2 linked regions of the Canis lupus familiaris genome follow. The protein of the gene in region 1 binds, or shares a complex with, the protein of each later gene. Links are inferred from orthologs where the notes say so. Each region holds a gene or a part of one and is shown in the gene's direction. Other genes may lie near its edges.

Region 1 (3,945 bases):
CATTTTCTCACATGGTAGTTGACAACATAGGCTCTAGGATGAAGCTCCCTAGATTTAAATCTTGACTCTACCACGTACTTACTGGGTTATTCAGCCTCCTTGAATCTCAGTTCCTCACCTGTAAATAATACCTACCTTATAAGGGATGCAATAATGAGCATAATGCATAGCATTATTATTTATTAGTTGTTACTTGGAAGTCCCAGCTGCATTTTGTCTGTTTGTTTGCTGTTGATTTCATGGCTCTCATCTCTAGTGTTTCTTTCTTTAGTGGTCCTTGGTACCTTAATTTTGGTTAGGAGGGCACCTTGGTGCTCAGAGGACTGTTCCTGGAGAAATGTTTTGAGCCCTTGTATTGCCCATGGCCTACATCATCACCCTCCTCTTCTGCAGTACTGCTGCAAGATGACAGCAATGTGGACTGACTATAGCAGGAATGCCAGCAGCATCTTTAACCATAATAAAGACCAGGATTAGCTGAGGGTTTCTAACTAGATGCCCAACTCTTTCCTATTTCCTCGTGTCCATTCATTGAACACATCATCCAGCTCTTGCTATGTGCCAACTGCTAGGATCAATAAGAGTCAAAAGTAGCTCCAAATTCTTAGGGACTCACAGATCCTTGGTGAAAGATAGCCATGGGCATAGCTGACAAGCATGTCCTGGGCATTAAGATGTCCCCCAGTGTGTGCCAGCTGCGTTAGCCTCAGTGGGGAGCTTGTTAGAAACAATATCTGAGGGTGTTTTACAAGAACCACAGTGTTCATGTGGATAATGCCTGGTGACAGATCCCCCAGGGCATGTGGATGTTTGTTTCTCTTGGACCCTGCCAACCAGTCCTCTATTTCTGAAGCAGTGTTTACAGACACAGTCTGCCGGGAAGGCTGCTCCAGCAAAGACTGTGTCACTGCTCTGGGGAATGTTTTCTAGAGCTTCCAGAAATGCCTCAAAACTCAGGACTGGCACAGCAAGTGACTGCTTTGCTGTTAGAGCTCTTAATATGAAGGGCCAGGAGCGACCCTGGCAAACGCAGGGCTGACGTGTGTGGGAACAGTGGGAGTGACCCTGGCAGGGAAGCAGGGGAGGCCTGGATATTGTTTCTCCGTCCCCTGCCCTGCTACTCTCTGCCCCGGGCTTGGAGCTCTCAGGCACCCTGGGATGGCGTTCCCGGGCAGGGTGCACCCTTGTGTTATCCCAGAGAATGAAGAAATCCCCCAGGCAGTCCTTAACAGTGTCCACCAGGCTAATGGCAATGAAGACGAGCGGGCTGTGTCCAAATTACAGCGCAGGCACAGTGACGTAAAGGTCTACAAGGAGTTTTGTGACTTTTATGCAAAATTGTAAGTGTCTCCTCTCCTGGAAGAGGAGCTCCTATCTTCCAGATCTAGTCTGCTTGGGCTTTGAGTTCAGTAGCCATTGATAGTTTTATTTCCTCGACTCTGAGCAGGGGCATTCCAGAGTGATGGAGGGGAGGGAGGCCTATTCCAGCAGGCGGGGAGATACACCAGATGAGATGCAGAAGTAAAGGAAAATGCTGCCTTTAAAGTAATAGTAGTAATGTCTTTGTGTTCAGTAGGTTCCTCATAATAGTACATTTTCATTATGTAGTCCAAGGGGGAGGCTTAGAGTTGCTGCTGGCAGGGTTTATAATAGAAAGATTGTATACTCTTAAACTTCCCACAGATGACAAGTTGGTTGAGGGAAACAGTAAAACTGAATTACAGACTGTTGATAAAGATACACATTTTTGTTAGGTTTAACAGCAATTTGAGGTAGGCAAACTGGATTTCTTAATATTGTCTTAAGGGGATTGAATCAATAAATAAGAATGTTGTGTATTTAGCAAATATAGGTGTGTGTGTGTGTGTGTGTGTGTGTGTATATATATATGCCATATATATGCCATTAACTCTAAAAAGTCTAATTCATGTTATTAAATGAGTTTTAGCAAACAATTTTAAAAAGTAGTGCAAAGTAGTAGTTAGACTCATGGAAGATTGTTGATCTTCCGCAAAGTCATAAGCTTAGAATTAACTGCAAATCCTCAATTTGTCAATCATGAGTTAAGGGGAATTTAACTGACCTGATTCTCTATTTCCATTAATCTATTATGTGTGGTATTATAACAGATGTCCTCTGTTTTCACGACTTATAAAGAGTTCTGTTTAAATGTAATGGGGAAAAAAAAAAAAAATAAATGTAATTGGGCAATTATAATTATACTGTAACCAAAATGCTCTGTGGACTCTTAAGATGCTTTTTGGATTTACACATTTTTTTCGTTTTGATGCCAGCAAATTTGTTTTACATACTTTTAACAGTGAGACACTTGAAAAAAAGCCCAGTGATACCAAGTTTTCTGTGTATGGTTCATCTGTAGAAGTGGATTGGGTAAATCAGTTATTACTGGCCAAATGTGAAGGTTCTGTACTAAAGGCTTCTACATATATATTTCCCAACATATATATTCTTTATCATCAATACTTCTTAGCAAAAATCCTTTTTTGAAAAATTAGCCGACTAATTATAACTAGCCAGATGACAGTTGTAACTATCATTCATGACTTCTAAAATGTAACTTTTATATATAAAAACAGTTATAAACAAATGCATAGGTCACTGTAGATTCATCATCAGTCATAACAGACTACGTTTATGGTAGAGATGTTGGTAGCAGGGGAGGCTTGCACGTGGGGATGAAGGGGAACTCGACTCCTTTTGCCTCAGTTTCACTGTAAACTTAAAACTGCTCAAAAAAACAGTCAATTGAAAGAAATATATAGTGCCAGAGGGTCAAAGACAAGAAAGGAAAGTTAATGTAAACAGTTCAGTAGGTTAGTGAGATTATTAGGGGTTCTTTCCTGAAAGTTTCCTCTAATGTAGTTTCTTTTCTTATCCTGCTTGTTATTAAAAGGAATACTTCTTCAAAAATACATATTATCTCCAAAGCTAGTTTATTTTTCCTGTGTATGAGAAACTGTCTACCTATTTTCTCACTATTTCAGTATTTGAATTAGAATATAAACAGTGTTTAGTACAATGAGTAGGAAACAGGTGACAAATGCTTTGATATTAGGACTGCTTTCCACTCTTAAGGGCAGCCCAGGTGGCTCAGCGGTTTAGTGCCGCCTTTGGCCCAAGGCGTGATCCTGGAGACCTGGAATCGAGTTCCGCATCGGGTTCCCTACGTGGAGCCTGGTTCTTCCTCTGCCTGTGTCTCTGCCTCTCTGTGTCTCTCATGAATGAATGAATGAATGAATGAATGAATAAATAAATAAATAAATAATAATAAAAAGGTATTGAGGTCTGCAGAGAGCTTTTGCTTATCAATATTTACTGAAAATACAAACTAAGAACAAAATTAAATATGTATTCATTTGAGATACATAAACTCATTATGCATTTATTCATAAGTGTTAATTTTTATGAAAAATAACTCTTTCCAAAATGAAAAAAGTTTGGTGGGAAAAGTGGCATTGAATTACATATTTTCAAATCTTCATTAATGACAGTCTAAGACAGTTTCTCAGTTCTGTTTCTGCATTTATCTTAGTGTTATATGTTGCCTTAGATATATATACAAAGAAAATAGGCCTCCCACAGATGCAGGTGGAAAAAGGACCTTTTGAACCCCTAAATGGGTCACAGTGACCCCTATACTTTGAGAACTACTTGATCTAGATAATGGAGCAGGATATTCCAGAATGTCCTTCTCTTCCTGCTTTTTGAGAGTTCTGTGAAAATTATAAGGATCTGGTGAATCTTTTGAGAGGATTCAAAATTAATAATGATGCCTTTATATTTGGGTAGCATCTTCTGGCTTTCAGAGTTATATACTTTTTAAAAATTTTTTCCTCGAAACGATATTAGGGCAGGTGTTGGTTTACCATACTTCATCCAGGGACACCTGCAGATTTTGATTAGGAGAAAGGGGAAGTGCAGACC
Region 2 (3,600 bases), on another chromosome or scaffold:
CCAGCTAGGTGCTAGGAATCACTAGAACAGTGCTAGCAATCCCTAGCTGGGTGCTGGCAATCCCTAGCTGGGTGCTAGAAATCCATCTGGGTGCTAGGAATCTAGCTGGGTGCTAGCAATCCCCAGCTGGGTGCTGGCAATCCCTAGCTGGGTGCTGGCAATCCAGCTGGGTGCTAGGAATCTAGATGGGTGCTAGCAATCCCCAGCTGGGTGCTGGCAATCCCTAGCTGGGTGCTAGGAATCCCCAGCTGGGTGCTAGGAATCTAGATGGGTGCTAGCAATCCCCTGCTGGGTGCTAGGAACCCCCAGCTGGGTGCTGGCAATCCCTACCTGGGTGCTGGGAATCCAGCTGGGTGCTAGGAATCTAGCTGGGTGCCGGGAACACAGACCACTGTGCCGTTCTTGCATTCGAGCAGCTCATGATACAGCCTAAGGAACGACTGTGGGGAAGGGATCAGAGTACTGACCTCTGAACACTGAACCACAACTAAAGAGACAGGACAACGAGGAGCAACTAACTTCTCGCTTCCCGGGTTCCCAAGTTGAGCGACCACCCTCTCCCCACGGTCCCGCCCCCAGGTTCCCGCTTCCGCCCACAGCTCTCCGCGCTTCGGCGCACAAACTGCGCCTGCGCCGACGCTGGTGCGCGTGCGCCCAGCCCGGTCCTCTCGGAACGACAGCCCCGGGCGCATTCCAGGGGGACGGGCTAACCTCGGGGCGGGACGGGACGGAGCCTCGAGGCCAGGCGGCGGACGTGATTGGCCGGCCGCGGTACACGTTCCTTGTGGGCGGGGCCTCACCCTGGAGCCGCGTCTAGTGAACTGGTCTCCTAATTTGGGAACCGCCAGGCGCGGGCGGGGCGTGGAGCGCAGGGCGGCGGGCTGTGCGCCTGCGCGGAGCTCCGGGACAGGGCGCGGTCCCCGTTCCCGTTCCCGTCCGCGGTCGCTCCGAGCCGGCGCATCTGTTGCTGCTGCAGCGCGCGAGGCGGACGCCTGTGCTTCCCTCGCCCGCCGGGTCGGCGCCGCGCTCCGCGGTGAGTGTGCGGCGTGGCACCCGGGCTCGCCTCCCTGAGCGCCCGGAGCGGTGCGGACGCCCCCCGCCCCCCGCCCCCCGCCCGGGGCCAGCCCGCGCCGAGCCCCCCCAACCCCCGGCCCCCCCCAACCCAACCCCCGCCCCCGGCCGTCGCCCACCTCCTCTGTTGTCGTTTGCTCCAGAACATGTCCAAGTCCCTGAAAAAGTTGGTGGAGGAGAGCCGGGAGAAGAACCAGCCGGAAGTGGACATGAGTGACCGGGGCATCTCCAACATGCTGGACGTCAACGGCCTGTGTAAGTGCGGGGGCCGCGCCCTCCCGGGGCCTGCAGGCTGTGCGCGCTTCCCGGGGAGCCGCCGGCCGCCGGGCTCCACAGCTTCCAGGGCTCTGCACCCCTGCGTGCAACCCTCGCCCGCGGAGAGCTTAGCTCAGAAAGTTTGCAGCCGGGGACCTGGCCCGGCCCGGCTGGAAGACGAGCCTCAGAGCCCGGGGTAGGAGTCACCCAGGCAGTAGCTGGTATTTGAGAAGATTTCCCGCGCAGTTTACTGCACACCCACTCTATTTTAAATCGAAAATCACTTTTGCATCAGGCTTGTTTTCTCCTAATATAGTCACTGACCCTTGAGCAATCGCCACACAGAAGTTCCATGATTAACTCCTCTTATGGCTGCTGGAGTTTGTTAAGCATGTCTCCTCCACTCCTTGCCCTTTCCTGGCTCTTTATTCTTAGTTGAGGCTTTTGTTACCTCCTCGTGCTACTGTGATGTATCCCCTAACTTTTAGCCTCTTGCCTTCAGGTTTGCTGACCCTGTGCTTCAGTCACTGTGTTGCTTTCTAAGGTTATTTTTCTGCAACATATCTTAGCCTGTAACTCACTCCGTTAAGCCAGAGATTGCAAACTCAGATGTCTTTTGGGGCCAGCTGAGGATGGTCATGAACTTCATCGTGGGTATCCCATCTGAAGAGGGGCAGCTGCCGAACCTGCTGCGCACGTGCACACGGTTGTCACCACCTGGGGATGTTGGCCTAGTGTTGCCATAGTTGTTGTTTTCAGGAAGGCAAGAGTTTAGGTTTTTACGTGAAATTTCTTAATTTTTTACACATTGGCAACTAATTCCAGTACTGAAAAGTGCAGGTGAAATAAAACACTTCTTCAGGCCGAGTGTGGCCTCAGTTTGGACCTTCTCCCTTAAACACTTCTGGTTGTTCATTAGCAACAGTGATGCTCCAAGTTCTTTGGCGTGACATGCGGAGCCTTTGTGAATCTGGCCAAAGCCTACCTTAGTTCCTATCTCATCCATGCGTTTGTTCTTCCCGCCATACTGAACGGATTGCCCTTCTTGAACCAGGGCAGTGTCTTTCAGGTCTTTGTGCCTTAGAAGTATTGTTTTCTTCCTCTCTTTTTCCCCCAGATCCTTTTACTTATCTGTCAAGAATCAGCCCAGATGCCATCGCCCGTGTGAAAACTTCTCTTTTCGTGTCAAGCAAATAGTCATCCCCTCCTCTGTGGAGGTGGACATGCCTTGCTTCATGGCTCTGCTTACCCGGGATTGTGATCCGTTCTTAATCCAGATGTCTCTCACCCGCATTGGAGACTGGGGGGGAATGTTGCTGTGCATTACTCATAAATGCCTTCTTGGTAGTGGGCCTGGCATACAGTAGGTGCTCAGAAATGTTGGGTGGATGGAGTTGCTGAGATTCAGACCAGGATGTGACATTGGAGGAGGAGGAGAGATGTTCAGGAGATCCTAAAAGGTGATGCATTGCTTGTTTGGCATGGAGAGAGCAGAGTCAATCAAATTTACTGTGAATCCGTGGTTTGTGCCCAGGACAGATTGGGTTGGGGCTCTTGATGCATCTCTGCAAAAGGAAAGGGGTTAGAAGTCCTAGACAGTTTGCATTCGGTAACCCTTAGGAAGGTTCCTGCCGCGGAGCTTTAGCTTTTGAACCAATTAGCATGTTACCTTCTTGAGATGAGTTGGCCTCTCCCAAGTGGTGATGGCTTCTTGGTGGCAGCAGCAGAGCTGCAGGCTCTGGGGGCTGGGTTGGCAGCCGCCAGCCAGGCTGGATGTGTGCTTGCGCTGCCACTTCTGGCTCTGCCTAGGTCGAGGCGATCATGGGGCGCTCTGCTGTAATGAAGGATGGTGAGCGCAAGCAGGAGGCCTGGCTCCACTGTACTTTTGGCCCCATGGCTGTCTGCTCCTCATCTCTGCAGAGGAACTTCATAGCCTTTGGCTTTGAAGAGAATTCTTTATGTAATATTTATAAGTAAGGATTGTGGCCTGGCTATTTTGGTTCCCTTGCATTATCTCTTTGAAGCCTTGGCTTTTACTGAAGGAGAAAAGATAGCCACTTGCTTCCTGAGAAAGATGTTTCCGGTGTAATAGTAGGTGGTAAAAAGCAAGATCTTTCTTGTGTTCTCCCGGAGAAGTAGCATAAGGAAGAACAAGCCTGCTTCCTGGGTAGTTTGGAGATTGGACCTTCTGCAGCTTCTGTGGTGTGCGTAGACTCAAAGAGTGGCTGCTTTCTGCTGAAATTCCCTCTCTCCTGGACTCCTGGAGCCTGGAAG

The links. The genes of interacting proteins can lie anywhere in the genome.
Region 2: the proteins of LIMS1 (region 1) and RSU1 are in contact, whole or in part, in a crystal structure (PDB 7LT9), measured with the Homo sapiens proteins. The link is inferred for Canis lupus familiaris from reciprocal best matches to the Homo sapiens genes LIMS1 and RSU1. Residues at the interface, in NP_001180417.1 of Homo sapiens: Cys252, Phe253, His254, Cys255, Asn256, Leu267, Asn268, Lys269, Ser279, Thr280, Cys281, Asn282, Thr283, Glu293, Phe294, Asp295, Met296, Lys297, Cys303, Lys306, Phe307, Pro308, Glu310, Leu311, Arg314, Leu315, Lys317, Leu318, Ala319; in NP_036557.1 of Homo sapiens: Asp21, Ser23, Asp24, Gln44, Val46, Ser48, His49, Val67, Asn69, Phe71, Asn72, His90, Asn92, Met95, Glu112, Asp115, Thr117, Tyr118, Arg137, Ala138, Tyr140, Ser142, Asp143, Ile161, Ser163, Arg165, Asp166, Glu184, His186, Gln188.

Annotation. Positions count from the first base shown.
Region 1 is NC_049231.1:36,276,653-36,280,597, reverse strand, and holds the start of LIMS1 (LIM and senescent cell antigen-like-containing domain protein 1), read left to right. Parts: upstream 1-1,089; 5' UTR 1,090-1,158; coding exon 1,159-1,340; intron 1,341-3,945. UniProt on the Homo sapiens protein: Within the IPP (ILK-PINCH-PARVIN) complex, binds to F-actin, promoting F-actin bundling, a process required to generate force for actin cytoskeleton reorganization and subsequent dynamic cell adhesion events such as cell spreading and migration.
Region 2 is NC_049223.1:19,007,316-19,010,915, forward strand, and holds the start of RSU1 (ras suppressor protein 1), read left to right. Parts: upstream 1-874; 5' UTR 875-1,033; intron 1,034-1,214; 5' UTR 1,215-1,217; coding exon 1,218-1,326; intron 1,327-3,600. UniProt on the Homo sapiens protein: Potentially plays a role in the Ras signal transduction pathway. Capable of suppressing v-Ras transformation in vitro.